2 linked regions of the Stegostoma tigrinum genome follow. The protein of the gene in region 2 interacts with the protein of the main gene of each other region in a pairwise test. Links are inferred from orthologs where the notes say so. Each region holds a gene or a part of one and is shown on either strand. Other genes may lie near its edges. The genes, in order: dazl and pumilio homolog 2-like.

What was found.
Region 1: the proteins of pumilio homolog 2-like (region 2) and dazl interact in a two-hybrid assay, tested with the Homo sapiens proteins (2 studies listed by BioGRID and IntAct). The link is inferred for Stegostoma tigrinum from reciprocal best matches to the Homo sapiens genes PUM2 and DAZL.

Annotation. Positions count from the first base shown.
Region 1 is NC_081355.1:103,459,860-103,474,784, forward strand, and holds the start of dazl (deleted in azoospermia-like), read right to left. Parts: upstream 5,531-14,925; 5' UTR 5,501-5,530; coding exon 5,489-5,500; intron 1-5,488. UniProt on the Homo sapiens protein: RNA-binding protein, which is essential for gametogenesis in both males and females. Plays a central role during spermatogenesis.
Region 2 is NC_081357.1:125,797,630-125,812,958, reverse strand, and holds the start of pumilio homolog 2-like, read right to left. Parts: upstream 7,880-15,329; 5' UTR 7,743-7,879; intron 1-7,742. UniProt on the Homo sapiens protein: Sequence-specific RNA-binding protein that acts as a post-transcriptional repressor by binding the 3'-UTR of mRNA targets.

The sequences.
Region 1 (14,925 bases), on a different chromosome or scaffold from region 2:
CATGGTACATTTTTCACTGTATTCTTGCACATTTGTACTTGATTACACATGACAATAAAGTCAATTCTAATTCCACCACTGAACTCCCTTCTGTCAACACCCTGAGGAACATGACTGAGCAGAGACTAAACTGAACCAGCCAGAGAAATAAGGTAGCCACAAAACATGTCAAGAGGCCATAAATTCTCTGGCTACTAATTCACTTTCTGTCTTTCTTTGGGAAAACTAACACAAGCAACTTCTCCATGTTGCACATTACCTTGACTTAAAACTATCTTGCATTTCCTTCACTGTTGCTGAAATAAAATCCTGGAACTCCATTCCTAACAAGACTGTGCACGTAACAGTTCCAATAGTCAGATCACCTTCTCCAAAGACTACTGACTTAGGCAGCAACACCAACATGAACAAACAGGGGAAAAAATTAGCTCTTTCAAAGGACCAAAGATTGGCAAGATGGCCAAAGTACAGTTTTGTTATTTCCATAAGTGTCTTTCCCTCCCAACTACAAAGATGCACATTTGACTTCCTTCTTCTCATAAGATCACAATAAATAGGAACATTAGGCCTTTTGGCCAAACAACTATTCTTTGCCATTCAATGCGATCATGGCAGATCAGATTATGGCCTTAGAAGCAATTTTATACCTGTTCTTCCTAACCATCAACTTGTTTGTCATTCAAAAATCCTGTCTGACTCAGTCTTAAATATATTCAATATATATTCAAATCCTACATATTCAGGCAAAGAATATTTACAATATTAATTACCCTTAGAAGAAATTCCCCATCATGTTTTAAATGGGAAACTCCTTATTTTAAAAAAATGTGCCCCCCAAATTCTAGATTTAGAGGGAAACATCATCTCAACATTTAAACTGTCAAACCCCCCCAATATCTAGATTTCATTAAGAACATTTATCATTCTTCTAAACTCCAACAAATACACACCTGACCTATGCAATTATGCCTTTATATGACAGGCCCCTCATCTCACGAATCAGCCAAGTGAGCCCTGTCTGAACTACTTCCAACGTAAGTATCCTTAAAATTCCAGTATTCTAGACACAGAATAATGAACACATTTTACAGCTTTCTTTTCTTTATTCATTCCGGGATGAGGACGTCGCTGGCTGGACAGCATTTATCGCGCTTCCCTAATTTCCCAGAGGGCAGCTGAATCAACCACATTGCTGTGGGTCTGGAGTCACATGTAGGCCAGACCAGGTAAGGATGGTAGTTTCCTTTCCTAAAGGACATTAGTGAAACACTAATGATCCAGCTGTAGCAAGACACCTCCACTCGTTCTTTATCGCCACTGTAAAGTACCAACTTTTTTGCTGGTTAAGTACATGGCCACCCAGATCCCTTTGTTTAGCAATGTTCTGCAATCTGTCTCCATTAAAACAGGTTCATTGTGGCACTTCCCCAACTGAAATATTTATGTTTAAAGTCTTCTATTATGATTCATCAGAACATTGGTCCCAGCACAATTTAGGCAGAAGCCATTAAGAACAATACAACACCCTCTTTTGCTCGTACTGGTGTCACTAACCCAAGAATCAGAATCCATTTCTCCCACACCAATCTATGAACTGCACATTCAACTGGCTGGTCTTACTGACTCTATCAATTTGCTCTGGTAGTAATATGGAGGTTTGCAACAACTGTCCTCTCATCACCTACATAGGATCAATTCTCATATTTATGCTACATTCATACATACAGGTGCAAGTTATTTCTCTCAACCTCAACTGTATCCATACTGGCCATATGACGCCAAGTCTTATCTGCGCTTCAACATCCAACCTTAATGCTCAGCACATCCTTACTGCCATTTTTCTACCCAGCTACCAAAGTGAGTTACAACCTCCAATGCAGCAATGACTGCCATTAAAATCTGACAAAGTGCTAACAATCACACTTAAATATTGGCAGTTAAGATCAGATGCAGCCCAGTGTTCTAGTTCTATCCTATAGAAAATCTTACCAGAAGTTAGGTGCTTTTTACCTAAATATCCTGTGGATTAAACATCCTTTGACCCTGCCACCATCTTAGTTGTAGCAGGTCTCTACAACTTTCAAGCAATAAAATAGATTCATGATGAAAAAAGGGAGTTTGGGGAGCACAGCTTAGGTTGAACAAAAAAAGTACATATTTCAATTCCCCATCAGTTACACGATCTTTAAAACTCTAGGCAGCCTTGCAACATTATACCTCTGTACCTACTTGTCAGGCTCTCCTGAATTTTTATCCACTATCTAATCTTGAATAGATCAAAATTTTTAGCCACACACATTAAACCTCTCAGCATCTACTTCTTTCCTTCTCAATATTACCTCTTTTAAAAACCTTTTAAATTAGCTCTACTCATCTCTGATACACTTTAGTGGTCTGTTCTACATCCTATTTCTGTTTCAATATAGATGTTTTGTTTTAATAGATACAACATGGCTACACCCATTTTCAACTCAGATATAGAAAAGAACCAAAGAACCTTTAAAATTAGTTAACTGCAACTGGATAATAGTAGTGACAGGCAAAAGGGGACATAAATTAGTAAGACATTGTATTCTCAGAAAAATTAAAGTCACAACTATACTTTATAGAAATGTCAATAAGAACAATAGAAAGGTAGTCAAAAGGGCTAAGAAATTTGGGACTTTACAAGTGAGCACAGAAAAATATAAATGCTTCACCATATCATTAAGCCTTAGCATATGTCAGATGTCACCCCAGGATTACGTGTACCTTAATATTTGGCCCCTCAAACCTGCTGTGACATTAAGATTATAGTCGATTTGTTCACATCAAATCCACATTCTCAACTACCCACAATAATCTTCAATTTCCCTGCTCAAAAATCTTTATAATTTTGCATAACAAATATTTAGCGACCATGTTTCCAGAGTCTCACAACACTCAATTCTCAGACATCACAAACATTTTTTTTTAAGAAAACGGAAATGGACTCACGCAAAGAGGAAACATTCACGTTTCTAAGACTATGCAGGAGCTTTAATGCTTCAATCAAGTTATCACTCTTTTAAACTCATGTAGAAACAAGCCAGCCTGTTTAAAACATTCTCAAAAATCAATCCATTCATTAGTTATCAACATAGTAAACCTTCTCATCAGTTCCAATGCATTTACATTCTTCATCAAATAAGGAGAACAAAACTGCACACAGTGCAGAGATGGTGCCTCATTCATGTTCTATATAACTCAAGCATAGCATTTTTGCTTTTATGTTCCATTCCTATTATAATGATGGACAACAGGCCATTAGCATTCTTGATTACACACTGTGCCTGTATGTTCATTTGAGAATTTATGCATCAGTATACCTAAGTTCATCTGCTCCTCAAAATTCTACAATCATTCTTATTTAAGTAATACATTGCTTTTTCATTCTTGCTGCCATAGTGAACAATTTCACAATTTCCTATCTTATTTCCTGCTAGCTTCTTGCCCAATTACTGAACCTATTTACAATCAGATCTTAAGACCATAAGACATAGGAGTGGAAATAAGGACATTCGGCCCATCAAGCCCACTCTGCCATTTAAATCATGGCTGATGGGCGTTTCAACTCCACTTCCCTGCACTCTCCCCGTAGCCCTCGATTCTTTGAGAGATCAAGAATTTGTCGATCTCTGCCTCGAAGGCATCTAACGTCCCGGCCTCCACTGCACTCCGTGGCAATGAATTCCACAAGCCCAACGCTCTCTGGCTGAAGAAATGTCATCTCATTTCAGTTTTAAATTTACCCCCTCTAATTCTAAGGCTGTGCCCACAGGTCCTAGTTTCCTCACCTAACGGAAACAACTTCCCAGCGTCCACCCTTTTTAAGCCATACATTATCTTGTAAGTTTCTATTCGATCTCCCCTCAACCTTCTAAACTCTAATGAATACAATCCCAGGATCCTTAGCCATTCATCGTACATTAAACCTACCATTCCAGGGATCATCCGTGTGAATCTCCGCTGGACATGCTCCAGTGCCACTATGTCCTTCCTGAGGTGTGGGGCCCAAAACTGGACACAGTATTCTAAATGGAGCCTAACTAGAGCTTTATAAAGTCTCAAAAGCACATCACTGCTTTTATATTCCAATCCTCTTGAGATAAAGCAACATTACATTCGCTTTCTTAATCACGGACTCTACCTGCAAGTTAACTTTTAGACAATCCTGGACCAACACTCCCAGATCCCTTTGTACTTCTGCTTTACGAATTTTCTCACCATTTAGAAAATAGTCCATGCCTGTATTCTTTTTTCCAAAGTGCAAAACCTCGCATCTTCTACACCATATACTTTCCTGACTATTATGGCATCATCTGCAAATTTACCTTTAATAACATTTCCTCCATCCAAATGATTGCTACATACTGTAAGAAGTTGAGACCCCAACTCAGACCACTCCAAGACTTCACTCACCACATCCTACCAGACTCATTCATACCTACTGTTTTCTACCAGTCAAAAATAATCTTTGATGGAAAGATGGTAACATGTTCAAAATTGTTTTATGTCCAATACATCCTAAAGGTTAAGTGTGTCTGGGATGTTGTGGATAACAAATGAAGAAAATAAGTCCCTAAACACATGCAACCCCACACTTTAGCCCTCCATTTCGTCAGGTGTATAAAAAACTTTTCATTCAATATGAAACAATGAAACTATAATGTTGTTTTCTGTTCTTGTTGGATATGTAGAGGAGGAAAATGGCTTCTTGTAAACTAAAACTCCATGTTGAGCTTTCATCTGCACTAATTCGCACTTCCTTTTGGTTTAAAATACAAGCGACGTGGAGGTGAAACAAACGCTGGATGCGGTCCGATAAATATCTTCGCCCCCTCCCCCCCCTTATTGCCGACCCAGTCCGCTTCTTTGTTCAAGCCAAATGCAGTTGTGTCTACGGTGTCATAAAGATAATGGAGTCGGCGACCCGCGAATGTCTCAAAGACTGGGAAGGCATTGGGCCCGAAACGTCAGTTTTTGTGCTCCCGAGATGCTGCTTGGCCTGCTGTGCTCATCCAGCTTCACACTTTGTTATCTTGGATTCTCCAGCATCTGCAGTTCCCATTATCTCTGAAGGCATTTACGATTCTGTTTACTGTGAACGTGGCATTGGCTAACCGGACAAGTTACAAAAAAGTAACAAGTTTACATGAGATAAAGAACAACCAGTTTCAAGACTAAATTAAAGCCAAAGGGTGATGAGGTGGAACTGTGTGTACAAATAGTAAGTCTCCCCACCGGCCCCCAGCCTCACAATAATTTATCATGAACCCCGAAATTATTGACGAGTCCAAACCGCCATTTAACGGCGTCGAGAGACGGCACTCCGCCTCGCTAGAACATGGCACGTGGTTTAAGGGTTTTCGACTAACAGCTTGTATCAAAACATAAGTTAACCAACATATTATGGAAACCACTTATTGAACATGGAGACTGATCGCAAGTTATTTCCCGCCTGTTTTACCATTTCAGCCATGTTTCTCAAATAACAGCCTTCCAACAACCAGACGTTCGGCGAGAAATGCCTCCGCCGCGCCTATTATTTATATGCTGCATCCACTCAACACCACCCAGCAGGGGTACCCCAAGGGCTTTTACAAATCATCAGAAGATTAATAACTGTTTACCGCCTCTGCAACTAGTCACTGCACTGCAAGTCAATACGAAAAAACGCTAGAAAATGAAACACTATCATATCAATTCAAAATGCCAACTGTTAAACAAAAAGTGTCTGTTGCTAGTGTGTCCCGTCTAGGCAGACGATGGTCGAGTCCAAGCTAGCCCGCTCTCTAAGTCGGCAAGCGCGTGAAATGAAGCTGGAATTTGAAGGCCGCCATTTTGTTGAGTGAAGAACTGTTTAACGGACAACATGTTTAAAGTTGGAGAGATAGAGAGGGAAATAAAGTGTTCAGTTACCAACACTGGACTCTCAGTTCTTGAAATGGTGTTGCGAATTAATTGGATCACCCTTGTTTCTTTATTTCAGTGTCGGAAATCATAAAGATTGAAATTGTCCCGCTGCGATAAAATACAGAATCATAAAATATATATTTCGAGTTGAGATATAAACGTGTCTATACGATGTTACACGTCGGTCTAATTTGAAGAGGGGGTCACTGATAGTTCTGAACGTTCCGCCGTGCTTTTTGTAGATCATGTAGATTTATCGCGACAGCGGCTCAATTTGTAGAGTCTGAACTTAACAGAATAGCCCAAGAGTGACAGGGTTTGCGAGGACTGCAACTGGACATAAAATCGATTAAAGCGAAAAACCTTGATTTTGGAAGTTACTATCAAAACAGAAGATGTCGAAAGCAGATCGGGGCAGTGAGGCAAAAGTTATCCTTTTAGGTCGACGACGACCTCTCTGAATCATTTTTTGGAAAATTTGACGCCACTGGCAGGATGGAGAAATTATTTGCTAGAATGACTCCGTTGAGAAGCTAGGGTTATTCTCCTTATAGAAGAAGAGTGTGAAAGAAGTCTTTAAATCATGAGAGTGTAGACAAAGTTGGTTGAGAAAACTTCGTATGAGTAGAAGGCTCCAGAATCCCTGACAGAAAGTGAATCGCAGACAACAAAAGAGACATTAGAAAAACCTATTATACCCGACAAATGGCTAAGATTGAAAGATGCACTGCTTGAAAGGTAGAAGAGAATCCAATTGTGATTTTCAACTGAAATAAAATGAGGGCTATAGAAAAAAGATAGGAGAATAGGCTTCAGTGATAATGGGAACTGCAGATGCTGGAAAATCCAAGTTAATAAAGTGTGAAGCTGGATGAACACAGCAGGCCAAGCAGCATTCTCAGGAGCATAAAAGCTGACGTTTCGGGCCTAGACCCTTCATCAGAGAGGGTCTAGGCCCGAAACGTCAGCTTTTGTGCTCCTGAGATGCTGCTTGGCCTGCTGTGTTCATCCAGCTTCACACTTTATTATCTAGGAGAATAGGCTTGCTGAGTTTCTCGAAGACAGAGCACGAACAGGCCAAAAATCTTTTAATCTGTTTTGCAATCATTCTCTGATTCTACGTGTCTCGCTTAAATTAGGATTTTAACAGACATTCAGATTAATTGAAAGGCAGAGCAGTTTAGGCATGATAGAGTGAGTCGAAAATAGATGTAATTGGGACCAGCATACAATCAAAATCCAGAGGAGATATATATGACAAAAGCAGAATCATTAACGACAGATGTGTCTGAAAAAATGCAAATAATGTTAAAAACTGAAATCGAAGTCAGTATCGAATTGAGATGTCTATGAAGTGCCTTATCAAATGATGAAATGTTTTTAAAGCTTCTATTGAACTTCATTTTGAGTGAAAAACGAAGTATGAAAATCCTCAATATCTGGCGAAAAATGTTAAAAAAATTATAGAGCCAATTTTTTTTCTTATGCCAAACCCTTTCTTTTCATTTGCTAGCTTCCTTCTTCTCTGAGACCTTCCCGTTTGTCCTTTACTCCCCTCCCCTGTATCCCTACTTCTGAATTTTTTTTAAGCCCATTACATCTCTAATATTTTCCAGTTGTAATGAAAGGCCACCAACCTGAAACATTAACTTTGTTTCCTCTGTCCACAGATTGTGTTTGGCCTTCTGAACAGTTTCTAAATATTAGTCATTTTAGCTACAACTTGACTTGCACCATTTAGAACATAGAACAATACACCGCAGAACAGGCCCTTCAGCCCTCGATGTTGTGCCGACCTGTGAACTAATCTAAGCCCCTCCCCCTACACTATCCCATCATTATCCATATGCTTATCCAAGGACTGCTTAAATGCCCCTAATGTGGCTGAGTTAACTACATTGGCAGGCAGGGCATTCCATGCCCTTACTACTCTCTGAGTAAAGAACCTGCCTCTGACATCTGTTTTAAATCTATCACCCCTCAATTTGTAGCTATGCCCCTTGTACAAGCTGAAGTCATCATCGTCAGAAAAAGAATCTCACTGTCCACCCTATCTAATCCTCTGATCATCTTGTATGTCTCTATTAAATACCCTCTTAGCCTCCTTCTCTCCAATGAGAACAGACCCAAGTCCCTCAGCCTTTCTTCATAGGGCCTGCGCTCCAGACCAGGCAACATCCTGATAAATCTCCTCTGCACCTTTTCCAATGCTTCCACATCCTTCCTGTAATGGGGCGACCAGAACTGCACACAATATTCCAAATTGTTACCGATGCCATCAACACATTGTGGTTATTTTTTGTTGAATCTTTGCACTCAAGCTTCCTCGTGTTGAAATTCATGCAAGTCCCAAGCCTTCATTAAATACTAATTACCCACCTGGATAGTGTACTTGCCTAATTTTCCTGATAATTCTGTGATTAGTCTGTTATTACTGTGAAATAAATATTGTTGTTACCTAGGTGTGCTGAATAAACTTTTGACACTGTTGTCCGCCTAGTGTTCTTGATCATGAAGCTTAAAAAATGTATAATTCTCTGTGTTTCACATTACAGACTACATGAAAGAAACCATTAAATTGTAAAAGATAACAAAGTGTGGAGCTGGATGAACACAGCAAGCCAAGCAGCATCTCAGGAGCACAAAAGCTGACGTTTCGGGCCTAGACCCTTCATCAGAGAGGGTGATGAAGGGTCTCTGATGAAGGGTCTAGGCCCGAAACGTCAGCTTTTGTGCTCCTGAGATGCTGCTTGGCCTGCTGTGTTCATCCAGCTCCACACTTTATTATCTTGGATTCTCCAGCATCTGCAGTTCCCATTATCACATTAATTTGTAAACACCAGTTTTAACATACAAACTTCTTAAAATTTCAAGTGCTGCAGCATTTAGTTGTATTTTAGAGGAAAAGAGGTTATGATCTCTAAGGAAAAGATTAAGGACTGATACGTGCATGTGTGTCTGAACACCAAGGCAGAAAACTCAGTCAAGTTAGGAAAAAGTATTGACCAAAAGGAGTTTGATTGAGAGATAATGGAAACTGTAGATGCTGGAGAATCCAAGATAATAAAGTGTGACGCTGGATGAACACAGCAGGCCAAGCAGCATCTCAGGAGCCCTCTGATGAAGGGTCTAGGCCTGAAACGTCAGCTTTTGTGCTCCTGAGATGCTGCTTGGCCTGCTGTGTTCATCCACCTTCACACTTTATTATCTAGGAGTTTGATTGAGGCTGAATCGAACATACTGTTCATTGCAAATGTGATAAAGTGCTTAGACTTTTCATATATTATTGAACTAATCAAAACCCGTTTGGAACTTCGCATGACAATGAAGTTGGTCACACACTTTATTGTACAATGTGACCTAATAACAGGATTCTGCATGAGATCTTTGAAAGATAATTAAAAATAACTAAAGACAAAAATGCATACACAATAGATAAAATCTGGAAATTCCCTTGGCAATGTGATGGTAAAAGAAAGATCCAAGATGTCGGGGAAATCCCAGTGTATCAAGTCAAGAAGCTCTCACCTTTGAACACTTTTAAGCAACCTGCAGTCAAGTCAGGCTGACCATCTAAGGTGTAGCTGTATGTTCTCTAGAGAATATTAAAATTGTTTGCGTATTGATCTTGTGAGGATGAGAGATAAGGATGGCAAGAGATATTGGAAGTTTAGTCAAAAAAAGAAAACAAATGTAAGGATTAGGAAACTGAAATCAGGTAAGGCCCTTGAGGACTATAAACAAAGCAGAAAAGACTTAAACAAGGAATTAGGAGGCCTAAAGGGGGCAATGAAATGTCCTTGGCAAGCAGGATTAAGGAGAATCCCAAAATATATTTGTACATATATTAGGAGCAAGAAGGCAGCTAGAGAAAGGGTAGACCCACACAAGGAGCAAGAGCGCAATTTATATGTTGTACCTGAGGAAATGGGTGAGGACCTTAATGAGTACTTCGGTATTCATCAAGGTCAAGGACCTTAATGATGGTAAAATTAAGAAGGGATATGTTGATGTTCTGGTGTTGAGGAGGTGGTGTTGGGTGTCTTGAAAAACATGAAGATTGTTTAGTCCTCAGGGTCTGATGGGATCCATCCTAAGATAATGAGAGAGACAAGGGTGGCAATTGCTGGGGCCTTGACAGAGATGTTTGTATCCTGTTTTAGCAACAGTTGAAGCCCCCAAAACACTGGAACCAATGTTGTTGCTTTGTTAAAGAAGGGCAACAGGGATAATCCAGGAAATTATTTGCTGGTGAGCCTTATCATTGATAAGGAAATTACTGGAGAAGATTGCTGTGGACAGATTTACACATATTTGTAAAAGAGACTTATTTGGGATAATCTGCATGGCTTTGTTTGTGGAGATGCCATGTCCCACAAACTGATAGAGTTCTTGAGAAAGTGATGAAAATGATTGCTGAGAGTAAGGCAGTGGATGTTGTCAACATGGACTTTAATAAAGCATTTGATAAGGTCTCCCTTGGTAGGCTGGCCCAGACAACTAAATCACATAGTATCCACAGTGAGTTGATAAATACAGAATTGGTTTGGTTATAAAAGACTGTATAGTTGTGGAGTGTTGTTTTTCAGACAGGAGGTCTGTGACCACTGGTGTTTCATAAAGATCAGTGCTGGGACTTCTGTTTGTGATGTGTATAAATGATTTGGATGAAAACGTAGGCAGTCCAATTTGTAAGTTTGCAGACAAGAGGAAAATTGATGGGGTTTTGGATAGTAAGAAAAGTTGTTAAATGATATAAATCAGTTGGAAAGTTGGGCCAAGAAATGGCAGATGGGGTGTAAAGCAGACAAGTGTAAGTTGTGAGGTATTTTTGGAGGTCAAATACATGAGGAAAGTATACAGCAAATGGCAGGATGCTTAGGACCATATATATATTAAGGGATTTTAGGGGTCCCAAGTCCATAACTCCCTGAAAGTTGCAACACAGGTGGATAAGGTGATAAAGAAGGCATATGGCATTCTTGCCTTCATGGTTCAGTGTATTAGGTATAAAAGTAGGCAAGTCATGTTGCATCTGTGTAAAACTTTAATTAAACCACATTTGGAATATTGTGTGCAGTTCTTGTCTCCACACCATAGGAAGAATGTGAAGGCTTGGGAGAGGGTACAAAAGAGGATGCCTGGATTGGAGTTTATTAACTACAAGGAGAGGTTGGACAAAACCTGGATTGTTTTCATTAGACCGTTGGAGGCTGTGGCGTGACCTGTTTGGAGGTATTTGTTATCATGACAGGCACGGATAGGGTGGACAGTGAGAGTCTTTTTCCAAGGGTAGAAATGTCAAATATTATGGTGCATAGTTTTAAAGTGAGAGGGGGAAAGTTTAAAGAAGATGCACGAGTCAAGTATTTTACAAACAGGGATAGTAAGAACTGCGGATGCTGGAGTATGAGATAACAAGATGTGGAGCTGGAGGAACACAGTAGGTCAGGCGGCATCAGACAAGCAGGAAAGCTGATGTTTCGGGTCAGAAATGGGGGAGGGGAAGGAGGCTCGGAAATAAATAGAGAGACGGGGAGCGGTGATAGCAGGTGTATAGTGGAGCAGATAGATGGGAGAGAAGACGGACACGCCAAGGAGGCACAGTAAAGGTGAGTGTAGGTAGGAAGTGGGGATGGGATTCGTCAGTGAGGAGGGAGGGGTGGATGGGTGGGACAGATGACAGACAGGTCAAGGAGGCAGGGATGAGAGGGGAGTTTGCTCTTGAGATGAGGTCGGAAGTGGAGAGATTTTGAAGCTAGTAAAGACCACATTGAGACCATTGGGTTGTTGGCTTCCATGGCGGAACTGTTCCTCCAGTTCCCAGGTGGCATCGATGTGACGCTGGAGGAGGCCCAGGACGGATGTGTCGTCCGGGGAGTGGGAGGTGTTGTTTGGCGCGAACTGAATGTAGGTGCACCACAAAGCAGTCTCCAAGTCTCCACTTGATCTCCTCGTTGTAGTGGAGGCCACATTGGGAACAACGGATAGAATAGACCACATTAGTGGATGTGCAGGTGAACATCTGTTTAATGTGGATAGCTTTCTTGAGGCCTGGAATGGAGTTGAGGGGGGACATGTAGGGGCAGGTGTAGCACCTCCTGAGGTTACAGGAAAAGGTAGCAAGTTTTCAGAAGATTTGTAGCTCAGGTTGAGGTTCTGGATGTGAGTTTGCTCGCTGAGCTGCAAGGTTAGTTTTCAGACGTTTCGTGACTTTTTTTATTTGACAAAATATACTTTATTCATAAGATGTACAAAAAATAAAACATATTTATACACCTACCCAGTCATGCAAGCCACTCCAGGTTAGCCGGGGGTACGTACACCAACGAAAGGAAAAAAACAAAACAAAGAAGAACAAAAAACAAAGCAAAGAAAATACCCTGGCAGTCATCTCCCCACACAGTCCCTGTTGGCCACCTGACCAGTTGGGGAAGGCGCCAGCTGGGCCCAGTTACCAGACAGCGCTCTTTTTTCTATTCTGGATAAGGGGTTTCATACGGTGGTCTTTCCCCACCGCGCCTTGGCGGCAGCTGCCCCAAGCTTTAGCACGTCCCTCAGCACCTAGTCCTGGACCTTGGAGTGCGCCAGTCTGCAACATTCGGTCGGGGTCAGTTCTTTCAGATGGCAGACCAGCAAGTTGCAGGCAGACCAAAGGGCGTCTTTCACTGCATTGATGGTCCTCCAGGCGCAGTTAATGTTGGTCTCAGGGTGCGTCCCGGGAAACAGCCTGGAGAGCACGGAGTCCCGCGTCACGGAGCTGCTCGGGACGAACCTCGACAAATACCACTGCATCCCCCTCCAGACCTCCTGCACATAGGCACACTCCAGAAGGAGGTGATCGACAGTCTCGTCACCCCAGCAGCCACCTCGAGGGCATTGCGGTGGCACAGAGATTCCGGGCATGCATAAAGGATCACACTGTCAGAGCCCCTCTCACCGCCAGCCAAGCAATGTCCTTGTGCTTGTTTGAAAGTTCTGGCGATGAGGCATTCTGCCAAACGACTTTGGCAGTCTGCGTGGGGAACCACAAGACGGGATCCACCATCTCCTTTTCCCGAAGGGTCTTGAGGATACTACATGCTGACCACTGCCTGACGGCCTTTTGGTCAAAGGTGTTTCGTTTCAAAAATTTCTCCACGAAGGACAGGTGGTACGGGACGGTCCAACTACTCGGAGCGTTCCGCAGCAAAGAGGCCAGGCCCATCCTTCGCAACACCGGGGACAGGTAGAACCTCAGTAAGTAGTGACACTTGGTGTTTGCGTACTGAGGATCTATGCACAGCTTGATGCAGCCACACACAAAGGTAGCCATCAGGGTGAGGGTGGCGTTCAGTACGCCTGTTGCCCCATTTTCCAGGTCTTTGTACATGGTGTCTCTGCGGACCCGGTCCATCCTCGACCCCCAAATGTAGTGGAAGATGGCCCGGGTGACCGCAGCAGAGCAGGTCCAGGGAATAGGCCAGGCCTGCACACATACAACAGTACCGAAAGCCCCTCGCACCTGACAACAAGGTTCTTACTCATGATGGAGAGGGACCGGAGAACCACCTGCCTAGCTTCTGCTTCAGTTTGGTGATACGCTCCTCCCAAGTATTAGTGCATGCCCCAGCCGAACCAAACACCCAGCACCTTCAGGTAGTCTGTCCTGACGGTGAAGGGGATGAAGGAGCAGTCGTTCCAGTTCCCGAAGAACATGACCTCGCTCTTACCCCTATTGACTTTGGCACCCGAGGCCAGTTCAAACTGGCGGCAGATGTGCAACAGCCTACTCACCGACCGACGATCGGTGCAGAAGACGGCGACGTCGTCCATGTACAGGGGGGTCTTGACCTGAAGGCCTCCGCTGCCTGGGATAGTCACGCCCTTCAGGCTCACGTCCTTCCTGATGGATGCGGCGAAGGCCTTCACACAGCACACGAACAAGGCAGGAGAGAGCGGGCAGCCCTGCCTGACTCCAGATGTGACAGGAAAACTGTCCGATTCCCACCCGTTGATCGAGACTGCACTAACGATGTTGGTGGAGAGCAGCCGAATCCAATTGCGGATGGCCTCCCCGAACCCCAATTTGGAGAGGACGTCCCTCATGTAAGCATGAGAGACCCTGTCGAAGGCCTTCTCCTGGTCCAGGCTGATGTGGCAGGTGTCCACCCGCCTGTCCTGCACGTAGGCTATCGTATCCCTGATGAGCGCGAGGCTCTCAGCGATCTTCCTGCCCGGCACAGCACAGGTTTGATCAGGGTGAATCACTGACTCCAGGACAGACCTGACCAGGTTGGCTATGACCTTGACCAAGATTTTTTAGTCCACGTTCAATAGTGAAATGGGATGCCAATTCTTAATTCCTTCCCTCTCCCCCTTCCTCTTGTGAATGAGGGTGATGATGCCCTTCCTCATGGACTTGCACATTTCCCCTGCCCGAAGCACACTATCGTACACCTCCAGCAGGTCCTGGCCAACCAGGTCCCACAGAGTGGAATACAGCTTGACCGGTAAGCCGTTGCTCCCGAGAGTCCTATTCCTCTCCAAGGACTTGAGGTCTCTGGTCAGCTCGTCCAGGGATATCGGCCGGTCCAGCCACTCCCTCGTGCCGTCGTCTAAGACCTCCGTGATAGATGACAGGAATGACTCGGAGGCCGTGCTGTTCGTGGGCTTCGTGTCGTACAGTCTGGCATAGAAGGATCTGTTGCTCCTCAAAGTGTTAGGCCGAGACGACTTCACCAAGCCGTCATCATCCTTCAGCAGGCTAAGCACAGAGCTCTCTTTGTGCACCTTATGAAAGAAGAAACGCAAGCATGTCTCGTCCTGCTCCACGGAGCGGACCCTGGACCGGAAGATTATCCTGGAGGCCTCCACGGAGAAGAGCGAGGTTTGCTGGCCCCTCACCTCGCGGAGGTCCTCCGTGACATCGACCCCCATCGACTGCAGAAGGAGCAGGTTCTGCACCCTCTTCTGGAGTCGCGACAGCTTTCCCTGCCTCTCTCTCGCCTT
Region 2 (15,329 bases):
ACTCCTTCCCCCCCCGGCACGCCGACACTCCACCACTCCTTCGCTTCCCCCCCCGGCACGCCGCCACTCCACCACTCCTTGGCTCCCCCCCCCCGCACGCCCCCACTCCATCACTCCTTCACCCCCCGCACGCCCCCACTCCATCACTCCTTCACCCCCCGCACGTCCCCACTCCATCACTCCTTCCACCCCCGCACACCCTCACTCCACCACTCCTTCCCCCAACCAGCACTGCACCACTCCTTTGCCCCATCCGCACGCCCCCACTTCTCCACTCCTTCCCCTCCCGGCACTGCACCACTCCTTTGCCCCCTCCGCACGCCCCCACTTCTCCACTCCTTCCCCTCCCGGGACTGCACCACTCCTTCCCCCCACCGCATACCCCCACTCCTTCCACCCTGCCCCGCACGCCCCGACTCCCCCGCACCTTCCCCCCCGCTGCACGCCCCCGCTCCTTCCCCCCTGCGCACGCCCCCACTCCACCACTCCTTGCCCCCCGCACGCCCCCACTCCACCACTCCTTGCCCCCCGCACGCCCCCACTCCACCACTCCTTGCCCCCCGCACGCCCCCACTCCACCACTCCTTGCCCCCCGCACGCCCCCACTCCACCACTCCTTCACCCCCCGCACGTCCCCACTCCATCACTCCTTCCACCCCCGCACACCCTCACTCCACCACTCCTTCCCCCAACCAGCACTGCACCACTCCTTTGCCCCATCCGCACGCCCCCACTTCTCCACTCCTTCCCCTCCCGGCACTGCACCACTCCTTTGCCCCCTCCGCACGCCCCCACTTCTCCACTCCTTCCCCTCCCGGGACTGCACCACTCCTTCCCCCCACCGCATACCCCCACTCCTTCCACCCTGCCCCGCACGCCCCGACTCCCCCGCACCTTCCCCCCCTGCGCACGCCCCAACTCCTTCCCCCCCCTCAGCACGCCCAACTCCTTCCCCCCGCCGCACGCCCCCACTCCTTCCCCCCGCCGCACGCCCCCACTCCTCCACCGCCCACCCACACACCCCCACTCCTTCCCCCACCTCCGCACGCCCCCACTCCCCCACTCCTTACCCCCCCCGCACGCCCCCACACCACCGCTCCTTCCCCCCTCCGCACGCCCCCACTCCACCGCTCATTTATCCCTCCGCACGCCCCCACTCCACCGCACCTTCCCCCTGCGCACGCCCCCACTCCACCGCTCCTTCCCCCCTGCGCACGCCCCCACTCCACCGCTCCTTCCCCCCTGCGCACGCCCCCACTCCACCGCTCCTTCCCCCCCCGCACGCCCCCACTCCACCGCTCCTTCCCCCCTGCGCACGCCCCCACTCCACCGCTCCTTCCCCCCTGCGCACGCCCCCACTCCACCGCTCCTTCCCCCCTGCGCACGCCCCCACTCCACCGCTCCTTCCCCGCTGCGCACGCCCCCACTCCACCGCTCCTTCCCCCCTGCGCACGCCCCCACTCCACCGCTCGTTACCCCCTGCGAACGCCCCCACTCCACCGCTCCTTCCTCCCTGCGCACGCCCCCACTCTACCGCTCCTTCCCCCCCTGCGCACGCCCCAACTCCTTCCCCCCGCCGCACGCCCCCACTCCTTCCCCCCACCGCACGCCCCCACTCCTCCACCGCCCACCCACACACCCCCACTCCTTCCCCCACCTCCGCACGCCCCCACTCCCCCACTCCTTACCCCCCCCGCACGCCCCCACGCCACCGCTCCTTCCCCCCTCCGCACGCCCCCACTCCACCGCTCATTTATCCCTCCGCACGCCCCCACTCCACCGCACCTTCCCCCTGCGCATGCCCCCACTCCCACCGCTCCTTCCCCCCTGCGCACGCCCCCACTCCAACGTTCCTTCCCCAAACCAGCACTGCACCACTCCTTCCCCCACCCCCGCGCACGCCCCAACTGCTCGCCCCCACCGCACGCCCCCACTCCTTCCCCCCACCGCATGCCCCCACTCCTTCCCCCCCCACCCAGCACTGCACCACTCCTTCCCCCCCCGCACACCCCAACTCCTTCACCCCCCCGCTCGCCCCCACCCCCCCACTCCTTCCCCCCACCGCACGCCCCCACTCTTTCACCCCCCAGCACTGCACCACTCCTTCCCCCCCGCACGCCCCCACTCCCCCACCCCCCCGCACGCCCCCACTCCCCGCACGCCCCCACTCCCCCACTCGTTCCCCCCCCGCACGCCCCCACTCCAGCGCTCCATCCCCCCTGCGCACGCCCCCACTCCACCGCTCCTTCCCCCCTGCGCACGCCCCCACTCCACCGCTCCTTCCCCCCTGCGCACGCCCCCACTCCACCGCTCCTTCCCCCCTGCGCACGCCCCCACTCCACCGCTCCTTCCCCCCTGCGCACGCCCCAACTCCACCGCTCCTTCCCCCCTGCGCACGCCCCCACTCCACCGCTCCTTCCCCACTGCGCACGCCACCACTCCACCGCTCCTTCCCCACTGCGCACGCCCCCACTCCACCGCTCCTTCCCCACTGCGCACGCCCCCACTCCACCGCTCCTTCCCCCCTGCGCACGCCCCCACTCCACCGCTCCTTCCCCCCTGCGCACGCCCCACTCCACCGCTCCTTCCCCCCTGCGCACGCCCCCACTCCACCGCTCCTTCCCCCCTGCGCACGCCCCCACTCCACCGCTCCTTCCCCCCTGCGCACGCCCCCACTCCACCGCTCCTTCCCCCCTGCGCACGCCCCCACTCCACCGCTCCTTCCCCCCTGCGCACGCCCCCACTCCACCGCTCCTTCCCCCTGCGCACGCCCCCACTCCACCGCTCCTTCCCCCCTGCGCACGCCCCCCACTCCACCGCTCCTTCCCCACTGCGCACGCCCCCACTCCACCGCTCCTTCCTCCCTGCGCACGCCCCCACTCTACGCTCCTTCCCCCCCTGCGCACGCCCCAACTCCTTCCCCCCCTCAGCACGCCCAACTCCTTCCCCCGCCGCACGCCCCACTCCTTCCCCCCACCGCACGCCCCCACTCCTCCACCCCCCACCCGCACACCCCCACTCCTTCCCCCACCTCCGCACGCCCCCACTCCCCCACTCCTTACCCCACCCCCGCACGCCCCCACGCCACCGCTCCTTCCCCCCTCCGCACGCCCCCACTCCACCGCTCCTTCCCCCCTGCGCACGCCCCCACTCCAACGTTCCTTCCCCCCACCAGCACTGCACCACTCCTTCCCCACCCCCGCGCACGCCCCAACTGCTCGCCCCCACCGCACGCCCCCACTCCTTCCCCCCACCGCATGCCCCCACTCCTTCCCCCCCCACGCAGCACTGCACCACTCCTTCCCCCCCCGCACACCCCAACTCCTTCACCCCCCCGCTCGCCCCCACCCCCCCCACTCCTTCCCCCCACCGCATCCCCCACTCTTTCACCCCCCAGCACTGCACCACTCCTTCCCCCCCGCACGCCCCCACTCCCCCACCCCCCCCGCACGCCCCCACTCCCCGCATGCCCCCACTCCCTCCCCCCCCGCACGCCCCCACTCCAGCGCTCCATCCCCCCTGCGCACGCCCCCACTCCACCGCTCCTTCCCCCCTCCGCACGCCCCCACTCCACCGCTCCTTCCCCCCTCCGCATGCCCCCGCTCCACCGCTCCTTCCGCCCTCCGCACAACCGCTCCTTCCACCCACCAGCACTGCACCAGCACTGCACCACTCCTTCCCCACACCGCACGCCCCCACTCCTTCCCCCCCGGCACGCCGACACTCCACCACTCCTTCGCTTCCCCCCCCGGCACGCCGCCACTCCACCACTCCTTGGCTCCCCCCCCCCGCACGCCCCCACTCCATCACTCCTTCACCCCCCGCACGCCCCCACTCCATCACTCCTTCACCCCCCGCACGTCCCCACTCCATCACTCCTTCCACCCCCGCACACCCTCACTCCACCACTCCTTCCCCCAACCAGCACTGCACCACTCCTTTGCCCCATCCGCACGCCCCCACTTCTCCACTCCTTCCCCTCCCGGCACTGCACCACTCCTTTGCCCCCTCCGCACGCCCCCACTTCTCCACTCCTTCCCCTCCCGGGACTGCACCACTCCTTCCCCCCACCGCATACCCCCACTCCTTCACCCTGCCCCGCACACCCCGACTCCCCCGCACCTTCCCCCCCGCTGCACGCCCCCGCTCCTTCCCCCCCTGCGCACGCCCCCACTCCACCACTCCTTCCCCCCCGCACGCCCCCACTCCACCGCTCCTTCCCCCCCGCACGCCCCCACTCCACCGCTCCTTCCCCCCCGCACGCCCCCACTCCACCGCTCCTTCCCCCCCGCACGCCCCCACTCCACCGCTCCTTCCCCCCAGCACGCCCAACTCCTTCCCCCCGCCGCACGCTGCCACTCCTTCCCCCCACCGCACGCCCCCACTCAACTCCCCAGCACTGCACCACTCCCCCCCCCGCCACCCGCATACCCCCACTCCTTCCCCCACCTCCGCACGCCCCCACTCCTTCCCCCACCTCCGCACGCCCCCACTCCTTCCCCCACCTCCGCACGCCCCCACTCCTTCCCCCACCTCCGCACGCCCCCACTCCTTCCCCACTCCGCACGCCCCCAATCCACCGCTCCTTCCCCCCTCCGCACGCCCCCACTCCACCGCTCCTTCCCCCCTCCGCACGCCCCCACTCCACCGCTCCTTCCCCCCTCCGCACGCCCCCACTCCACTGCTCCTTCCCCCCTCCGCTCCTTCCCCACTCCGCACGCCCCCAATCCACCGCTCCTTCCCCTTCCGCGCGCCCCCACTCCAACGCTCCTTCCCCCTCCGCACGCCCCCACTCCTTCGCCACCGCACGCCCCCACTCCTTCCCCGCCCTCACTCCAACACTCCATCCCCCCAACAGCACTGCACCACTCCTTCCCCCACCGCCTCACGCCCCGACACCCCCACTCCTTGACCCCCCGCACGCCCCCGCTCCTTCCCGCCCCCGCACGCCCCCACTCCACCGCTCCTTCACAACTCCGCACGCCCCCACTCCACCGCTCCTTCACCCCTCCGCACGCCCACACTCCACCGCTCCTTCCCACCTCCGCACGCCCCCACTCCACCGCTCCTTCCCCCCTCCGCACGCCCCCACTCCTTCCCCACTCCGCACGCACGCACTCCACCGCTCCTTCCCCCCCCCAACCCCAGACTGCACCACTCCTTCCCCCCCGCATGCCCACACTACACCACTCCTTCCCCCCCCGCACGCCCCCACTCCTTCCCCCCCCCGCACGCCCCCACTCCATCCCCCCCCCCGCACGCCCCCACTCCATCCCCCCCCCCGCACGCCCCAACTCCATCGCTCCTCCCCCCCCACTCCACTGCTCCTTCCCCCCTGCGCACGCCCCCACTCCAACGTTCCTTCCCCCCACCAGCACTCCAACGTTCCTTCCCCCCACCAGCACTGCACCACTCCTTCCCCCCCCTGCGCACGCCCCAACTCCTTGCCCCCACCGCACGCCCCCACTCGTTCCCCCCACCGCATGCCCCCACTCCTTCCCCCCCCGCACGCCCCGACATCCCCACTCCTTCCCCCCCGGCACGCCCCCAGTGCGCCACGCCCACACGCCCCCATTCCCCCACTTCTTCCCCCCCCTCCACACGCCCCTTCTTCCCCCCCTCCACACGCCCCTTCTTCCCCCCCCTCCACACGCCCCTTCTTCCCCCCCCTCCACACGCCCCTTCTTCCCCCCCCTCCACACGCCCCTTCTTCCCCCCCCTCCACACGCCCCTTCTTCCCCCCCCTCACACGCCCCTTCTTCCCCCCCCTCCACACGCCCCTTCTTCCCCCCCCTCCACACGCCCCTTCTTCCCCCCCTCCACACGCCCCTTCTTCCCCCCCCTCCACACGCCCCTTCTTCCCCCCCCTCCACACGCCCCTTCTTCCCCCCCCTCCACACGCCCCTTCTTCCCCCCCCTCCACACGCCCCTTCTTAACCCCTCCACACGCCCCTTCTTCCCCCCCCTCCACACGCCCCTTCTTCCCCCCCCTCCACACGCCCCTTCTTCCCCCCCCTCCACACGCCCCTTCTTCCCCCCCCCTCCACACGCCCCTTCTTCCCCCCCCCTCCACACGCCCCTTCTTCCCCCCCCTCCACACGCCCCTTCTTCCCCCCCCCTCCACACGCCCCTTCTTCCCCCCCCCTCCACACGCCCCTTCTTCCCCCCCCCTCCACACGCCCCTTCTTCCCCCCCCTCCACACGCCCCTTCTTCCCCCCCCCTCCACACGCCCCTTCTTCCCCCCCCCTCCACACGCCCCTTCTTCCCCCCCCCTCCACACGCCCCTTCTTCCCCCCCCTCCACACGCCCCTTCTTCCCCCCCCTCCACACGCCCCTTCTTCCCCCACCTCCACACGCCCCTTCTTCCCCCACCTCCACACGCCCCCATTCCGCCCCTTCTTCCCCCCCCTCCACACGCCCCCATTCCGCCCCTTCTTCCCCCCCTCCACACGCCCCCATTCCGCCCCTTCTTCCCCCCCACACGCCCCCATTCCGCCCCTTCTTCCCCCCCTCCACACGCCCCCATTCCGCCCCTTCTTCCCCCCCCTGCACACGCCCTCCACACGCCCCTTCTTCCCCCACCTCCACACGCCCCCATTCCGCCCCTTCTTCCCCCCCCTCCACACGCCCCATTCCGCCCCTTCTTCCCCCCCTCCACACGCCCCCATTCCGCCCCTTCTTCCCCCCCACACGCCCCCATTCCGCCCCTTCTTCCCCCCCTCCACACGCCCCCATTCCGCCCCTTCTTCCCCCCCCTGCACACGCCCCCATTCCGCCCCTTCTTCCCCCCCCTCCACACGCCACCATTCCGCCACTTCTTCCGCCACCCCCCGCAAGCCCCCATTCCGCCACTTCTTCCGCCACCCCCATTCCGCCACTTCTTCCCCCCCGCACGCCCCCATTCCAACACCCCCACACGCCCCCTTTCCGCCCCTTCTTCCCCCCTCCACACGCCCCCATTCCGCCCCTCCTTCCCCCCCTCCACACGCCCCCATTCCGCCCCTCCTTCCCCCCCTCCACACGCCCCCATTCCGCCCCTCCTTCCGCCACCCCCACACGCCCCCATTCCGCCCCTCCAACCCCCCTGCCCCCCCATTCCACCCCCCCTGCCCCCCCATTCCACCCCCCCTCCACTCCCCTTCCCCCTCCCCACTCCCCTTCCCCCTCCCCACTCCCCTTCCCCCTCCCCACACGCCCCCATTCCGCCCCCCATTCCACCCTTCCACCCCCCCATTCCACCCCCCCTGCCCCCCCATTCCACCCCCCCTGCCCCCCCATTCCACCCCTCCCCACACGCCCCCATTCCACCCCTCCCCACACGCCCCCATTCCACCCCTCCCCACACGCCCCCATTCCTTTTCCCCCTCTACTTTCACTCATCCCCCACACCTGCTCCTTCTCCTCCCAACCCTGTTCTATCCCCGACAACGTACACCCCCGCTCCGCCCCCACCCGCCTACCCCAAACCCCACCATCCCCCTCTCGTCCTGTCCTCCTCCATATTCTCCTCCACCCCTCTCAATCCCCTCACTTCTCCTCTTCCCCCCCCGCCAGCTCCCCGGCCCTTCTCCCCGCACACTCTGATTCTGGGCAGCGGCCCGGACCCGGGGCCCGCTCCTCTTCCTCGATCTTTGTGTGGCTCCGACATTATTTTGTTTCTAAACGCGCGCGCGCTGGCTCTCTCTCTCCACCGGTCGTCTGCGTATCAGTTCCCGCGGCTCGAGGGCCGGCTCACACTCACAGTTTCAGGCTGATGTTGGCGGCCTAGCCGGCGGCCTCCGCCGGGCTTTCCCTCCGGGTTTTTTTTTGTTCCGACAGAAACTCAGCGCCTTCCCCACAACAACATGGCGCCGGGCAGCATCCCCGCGCTCACCACCTAGGCCCCGCCCCCTACCGCTAAACACCGCCCACTTCCTCCCTCCCCCCCACCACGGAAAGGCCGGAATGGCCCCGCTCCACCTCCCGTGCCGACTCCGCCCCCGACTGCCCGCAGGGTCCCGCCTCCAGACCGAGTCCCGCCCCCTCGCGGAAGTGCTGATGTTAGACGAGGGTCGACCAAGTTAGAAATAATGGGAACTGCAGATGCTGGAGAATCCAATATAATAAAATGAGGCTGGATGAACACAGCAGGCCCAGCAGCATCTCAGGAGCACAAAAGCTGACGTTTCAGGCCTAGACCCTTCATCAGAGAGGGGCATGGGGTGAGGGTTCTGGAATAAATAGGGAGAGATGGGGAGGCGGACCGAAGATGGAGAGAAAAGAAGATAGGTGGAGAGGAGAGTATAGGTGGGGAGGTAGGGAGGGGATAGGCCAGTCCAGGGAAGACGGACAGGTCAAGGAGGTGGGATGAGGTTAGTAGGTAGGAGATGGAGGTGCGGCTTGGGGTGGGAGGAAGGGATGGGTGAGAGGAAGAACAGGTTAGGGAAGCAGAGACACGTTGGACTGGTTTTGGGATGCAGTGGGTGGAGGGGAAGAGCTGGGCTGGTTGTGGGGGGCAGGGGACGAACTGGACTGGTTTTGGGATGGGGTGGGGGAAGGGGAGATTTTGAAGCTGGTGAAGTTCACATTGATGCTATTGGGCTGTCGGGTTCCCAAGCGGAATATGAGTTGCTGTTCCTGCAACCTTCGGGTGGCATCATTGTGGCACTGCAGGACGCCCATGATGGACATGTCATCTAAAGAATGGGAGGGGGAGTGGAAACGGTTTGCGACTGGGAGGTGCAGTTGTTTATTGCGAACCGAGCGTAGGTGTTCTGCAAAGCGGTCTCCAAGCCTCCGCTTGGTTTCCCCAATGTAGAGGAAGCCACACCAGGTACAGTGGATGCAGTATACCACATTGGCAGATGTGCAGGTGAACCTCTGCTTAATATGGAAAGTCATCTTGGGGCCTGGGATAGGGGTGAGGGAGGAGGTGTGGGGGCAAGTGTAGCATTTCCTGCGGTTGCAGGGGAAGGGGACTTCACCAGCTTCAAAATCTCCCCTTCCCCCACCGCATCCCAAAACCAGCCCAGTTCATCCCCTCCCCCCACTGCACCACACAACCAGCCCAGCTATTCCCCTCCACCCACTGCATCCCAAAACCAGTCCAACCTGTCTCTGCCTCCCTAACCTGTTCTTACTCTCACCCATCGCTTCCTCCCACCCCAAGCCGCACCTCTGTCTCCTACCTACTAACCTCATCCCACCTCCTTGACCTGTCCGTCTTCCCTGGACTGACCTATCCCCTCCCTACCTCCCCACCTATACTCTCCTCTCCACCTATCTTCTTTTCTCTCCATCTTCGGTCCGCCTCCCCCTCTCTCTCTATTTATTCCAGAACCCTCACCCCATGCCCCTCTCTGATGAAGGGTCTAGGCCCGAAACGTCAGCTTTTGTGCTCCTGAGATGCTGCTGGGCCTGCTGTGTTCATCCAGCCTCACATTTCATTAACTAGGTTACAGTCCAGCAGGTTTATTTGAAATCACAAGCTTTCCGAGTGCAGTGAGAAAGCAGGGCACACAGGCACAGAGTTTATAGGTAGCGAAATCAAAGGGCAGAGACGTCAAAAAAATCATACAAATGGTGTGTGTAGTACCAGATTATAAATCTGCCGGTGACCAACAGTGTTAGACTGAGAGTCAAGTGTCAACAGCTGAATAACCATGGTAGTTCGGAGGAAGAATCTTTGCTTCCGACACAGGAAACGTGGGTTTGATCCCTGGTCAATGCATAGCAGTCCTTTCTTTGAATAACCAGTGAAGGGATGACCTATAATCTGATTAGGGGAGGAGAGAACCACTTACAAAAAAATCAAAGTAAGGTTATAACAAGTTGTAGAGCTGGATGTACGCAGCAGGCCAGGCAGCACCAGAGGAGTAGGAAAGCTGACTAAATAAGGTGGTGCTGGAGATGAACCAAATGACTGGAATCACATGCTGAATTCAAAACCGTACAAACTAATCAAGGTAGAGAGATCATAACAATTTGTCAAGTTGATGCTGTCTAAACAGGACAGTAAGGGGTTAGACAGAAGACGGTCTCAGTTCCAGGAAGGGTCACCGGACCCGAAACGTTAACTCCGTTTTCTCCTTCACAGGTTTTGCCAGACCTGCTGAGCTTTGCCAGCAACTTTGTTTTTGTTCCTACCATACTGTTCTTCATTTGTAAAATCTTCCTTTTGGCCCTGCCCCCACCCCCTTCGACAGCAGGCTGGGCCCCGTCCCTCCATCCATCCAGCCCCGGTTCCCCCATAACCCCGTCCATCCTGACTTCAGGGAAGCATGGGGGGGGAGCACTGGGATAGGGAATCAGGGGTATGGGGGTGGGTTTGGGACAGAGCATCAGAGAGGATGTGGAGGCACTGGGATAGGGCATCGGGGAGGGCATGGGGCACTGGAATAGGGCATCAGGGTGGGCACTTGAGGCATGGAGGGGGCACTGGCATGGGAAGGGCACTTGTGGGGGACACTGGCACCAGTGAAGGCATGGGAGGATGACACAGGCACTGCTGACTTTGGGAAGACACTGGGGATCGAAGAAGGCACCGGGGGCATGGAGACAACATTGTGAGAAAACTGGGCACCGGGGAGTGCACTGATACAGAAAGTTTCACGGGATGGGGAGCAGTGGCACAGAAAAAGGCATCAGAGCAGGGGATAAAGGAGAGGACACCAACACAGGGGCTTGGTGAGGATACAGGCACAGGAGGCATTGCCTATGATATTGATATGGGAGGACATTGACATGAGTCACTGGCGCTGGGGCATTGGGGAAGATCATGGCCTGGAGGGCTAGCAACAGACACTGGCACAGCGAGCACTGGGGAAGGGACACTAGCACGAGGATAGGACATTGTGGGTTCCGCACTGGGAGTGGGCACTGGCATGGGGGAGGGCACTGGAAAGACACTGTGACTACAATTGGGCACTAGGTATGGGTACTGAATAGTGGAGTGTACTGTGGCGAGCAAGGGCATTAACCATCCATACATTCCAACAAGTAAGGAAAATTCTATGGGACAGACCTGTCATCCATAGTCAAGTATTAAAAGAAATCAAAGATAATATCAACCATGAAGGAAAATCACATGATTGAGCAAAGATGCATGTAGGTCAGAAGATTGATATTTAAAAAGGCAAGGAACTGCTAAAAGATTGATAAGGTGGATGCTAAAAGATTGATAAGGTGGAAAAACTTTGAGCAAAGAAAGTTTTCCAACAATATTATAACAGATAGGAAGTTTTTTCTTTGGATATTTAAAAAGAAAAAAAGAGTAAACAAAGTCAGTGTTGGTCCTATAGAAATATGTTTGGGAATTAATAGTAATGGAGAACACAGAGATGGCAGAGATAGTAAACAGATATTTTGTGTTGGTCTTCAGCAGGAAAGATACAAGTAACATTGAGGAAAAAGGTGTACAGCAAGAATTGAACAAGAGGGAGGAACACACAGAACTTAGACTCAAGTAGCATTGAATGAATTGTTGGAACTCTTGAGTTGACAAGCCCCCAGGTCCTGATGTATGTCATCCTAGGGTCTTAAAAGATGTAGCTACTGAGATAGTTGATATACCAGTTTTAGTTTTCCAAAACTCAATTGATTGATGAAGGTTCCCTTCAATTTGAAAATTGCCAATGAAACTCGTGTATTCAAAAAAAGGAGCGAGACAGAAATCAGGAAAATACGGGCCAATTAGCATAACATCTTTCGTAAGGAAAATATTAGAAACTATTATTGAAGATATTATGTCAGGACACTTAGCTAGGTAAGCAGGCAGAGCCAACATGGCTTTGTCAAAGGAAATATTTATCAAATTTATTTGATGTCTTTGAAGCCAGTAACTTGTACTATGGATAAAGGGGAACCAGTGGTTATATTGTACTTAGATTTTCAGAAGGCATTTGATAAGGTGACAGATTAAAAATTATTGCACATGGTTAAAGCTCATGGTTTTGGGGATAACATACTGGCATTGATAGAAAATTGGTTTCTAACAGATAGCAGAAAGTGGCAATAAATGGGTCTTTTTCAGACAGAATGTCATGCAGATAGTGTGCTATAAAATTCTGCACTGAGGCCTCAACTCTTTACAATCTATATAAATAATTTGACTGAAGGGACCAAAAGTGCAGTAGCTAAATTTGCTGAAGACTCAAAGGTAGATAGGAAAGTGAGATGGGAAAACAATATAAGGGCTTTACAAAGGGATGCAGATGGGCTAAGTGAGTGGGCAGAGAGCTAGCAAATGGAAGACAATGTGGGGAAGTGCGAAAAATGTCCATTTAGGCACAAAGAATAAAACGGTGAGAGATTGCAGAGCTCTGAGATGTAGAGAGAACTGGATGTCTGAGTGCATGAATGGCAGGTGAGGATGCAGGTACAGTAATCAATCAGGAAAGCCAATAGAATGGTATGTTTCATTGTTAAACGCAGGAGTAGGCAGGTTATGCTTCTGTTTTGCATGGGAATTTTGATATATACAGTACTGATCACCATGAGAGCAGTTCATAGAAAGCTTGCTTGACTAATACCTGGAGTGAATGAAGAGTGAATGAGCCTTTTAAGGAAGATTTATACAGCCTAGGCCTTTATCCTCTGGAGTTCAGAAGAGTCAGTCCTTGAAGATCAACAAGACAGTTTATATGTGGAACCATAGGGGATGGTTGAGATACTAAACAAGTATGTTGCATTAGTTTTTACTGTAGGGAGGACATGGAGGCGAAAGAACTTGGGGAAATACATAGTGATTTCTTGAAAAGTTTCCAAATTACAGAAGAGGAGGTACTGAAAGTCTTAAAATGCATAAAGGTAGATAAATCTCCAGGATCAAGTGTTTCCCACATCTTTATGGGGAAGCTAGGGAAGTGATTGCTGGGGCCATGCTGAGGTATTTAGAATCATAGAGTCATACAGTAATACAGCATGGAAACAGGCCCTTCAGCCAAAACTGGTCCAAGCTAACTATGGTGCCCACTCTTTTCTGATGAAGGGTCTAGGCCCGAAACGTCAGCTTTTGTGCTCTTAAGATGCTGCTTGGCCTGCTGTGTTCATCCAGCTCCACACTTTGTTATCTCAGGTAGTTCCAATTGCCCACATTTGGCCCATTTCTCTTGAAATCCTTCCCATTTATATACTTATCGAAATGTTTTTTTTTAACTGTTGCTATTGTATCTGCCTCAACCACTTTCTCTGGCAGCACATTTCATATATGCACCACCCTCTGCATGAAGAAGTTGCCCCTCAGGTCCTTCTTAAATCTTTCTCCCCTTATCTTAAACCTATGTCCCCCAGTTTTCAATTCCCCATCTCTGGGAAAAAGACTGTATGCATTCATCCTATCTATGCCCCTCATTATTTTATAAACCTCAATAAGATCACACCTCATTCTCCTACATTCCAAGGAATAAAGTCCTATCCTGGCCAACCTCTCCCTATAACTCAGGCCAAGTTGTTCTGGCAACATCCTCATAAATCTTCTTTGCACACTTTCCGGTTTAATTATGGCTCTCCTATAACAGGGTGACCAAAACTGTACACAATACTCCAAGTGCAGCCTCACCAACAAATTGTACAACTGTAACACAACATCCCAACTCCTATACTCAATGCCTCAGCCCTCAGGATTTTACCATTTACTGTATAACTCCCACCTTGGTTTGACTTTCCAAAGCGCAACACCTCACACTTATCTGCATTGAATTGTATATTCCAAGCCTCAGCCCATTTCCCCTTCTAATCAAGATCCCTCTGTAATTTTTGATAACCTTCCTTGCTATCAATCAGACTTCCTTATCTTGTACCATCTGCAAACTTACTAATCATGCCTTGTACATTCACATCCAAACCATTTATGTAAATAACAAATAAGAAAGATCTCAGCACCGACCCCTGTGGCACACCACTGGTCACGGGCCTCCAGTCGAAGAAACGACCTTCAACCATCACCTTTTGCCTCCTACCATTGAGCCAATTTTGAATCCAGTTAGCTAGCTCTCCCTGGATCCCATGCTACCTAGCCTTCATGACCAGCCTGCCATGCAGAACCTTGTCAAAGACCTTACTATAGTCCATATGGACAACATTCACTACCCTACCCTCACCTATCCTGTTGGTTACCTCTTTGAAAAACTCTAAAAGATTTGTCAGATATGACTTCCCATGCACAAATCCATGCTGACTATCCCTGATCAGACCTTGGCTATCCAAGTGTTGGTAGATCCTGTCCAGTATCCTCTCCAATAAATTGTCTACCACTGATGCCAGGCTCATTGGCCTGTAGATCCCTGGTTTGTCTTTGCTACCTTTCTTAAACAATGGGAAAACATTAGCCACCCTCCAGTCTTCCAGAACTTCTCAAACGGCAAAGGTGAAATAAAAATCTCTGCAATTTCTTCCCTAGCCTCCCACAATGTCTGAGGATGGACTTGATCAGGTCCAGGGGATTTATCCAGCTTAACATACTTTAAGGCTTTGTGTGTGGAGAATCGTGTCCCATCAACTTTGTTGAGGTTTTTTGAAGAGTTGTTAAAGAAGATTGATGATGGTCAAGCAGTAGATGTTGTATATAAGGACTTTAGTAAAGCATTCAATGAGAATCTACATGGTAGGCTGGTTAGTAAGATTAGATCACATGGGATCCAATGGAAGTTGACCAATTGGATACAAAATTGGCTTGAAGGTAGGAGACAGAGGATGATGGAGGGATATTTTCAGGCTGGAGACCTGTGACCAGTGGTGTGCCGCAAGGATTGGTGCTGGGTCCGCTGCTTTTCATCATTTATATAAATGATGTGGATGTGAATATAGGAGGTATCATTTGTAATTTTTCAGATGACGCCAAAATAGATGTTTTAGTGAACAGTAAAGATGGTTATCTCAGAGGATAACAGGACCTTAATCAGATGGGCCAACAGGCCGAGGAGTGGCAGATGGAATTTAATTTAGATAAATCTGAGGTACTACATTTTGGCAGGGCAAACCAGGGCAGAACTTATACACTTAATGGTAAGGACCCAGGGAGTGTTGCCGAACAAAGAGACCTATGCGTGTAGGTACAAAATTTATTGAAAATTGAGTTGCATATAGAGAGGATTGTGAAGAAGGCATTTGGCACACATGCCTTCATTGGTCATAACATTGAATATAGGAGTTGGGATATCATATTGCAGTTGTTCAGTACATTGGTGAGGCCACTTTTGGGATATTGCATACAATTCTAGTCATCATCTACATCAACATTTACAAGTTGTTGCTGGGACTGGAGGTTTTGACCTATGGGGAGATACTGAATAGGTTGGGCTATTTTCCCTGCAGCATTGGAGACTGAGGAATGACCTTATACAGATTTATA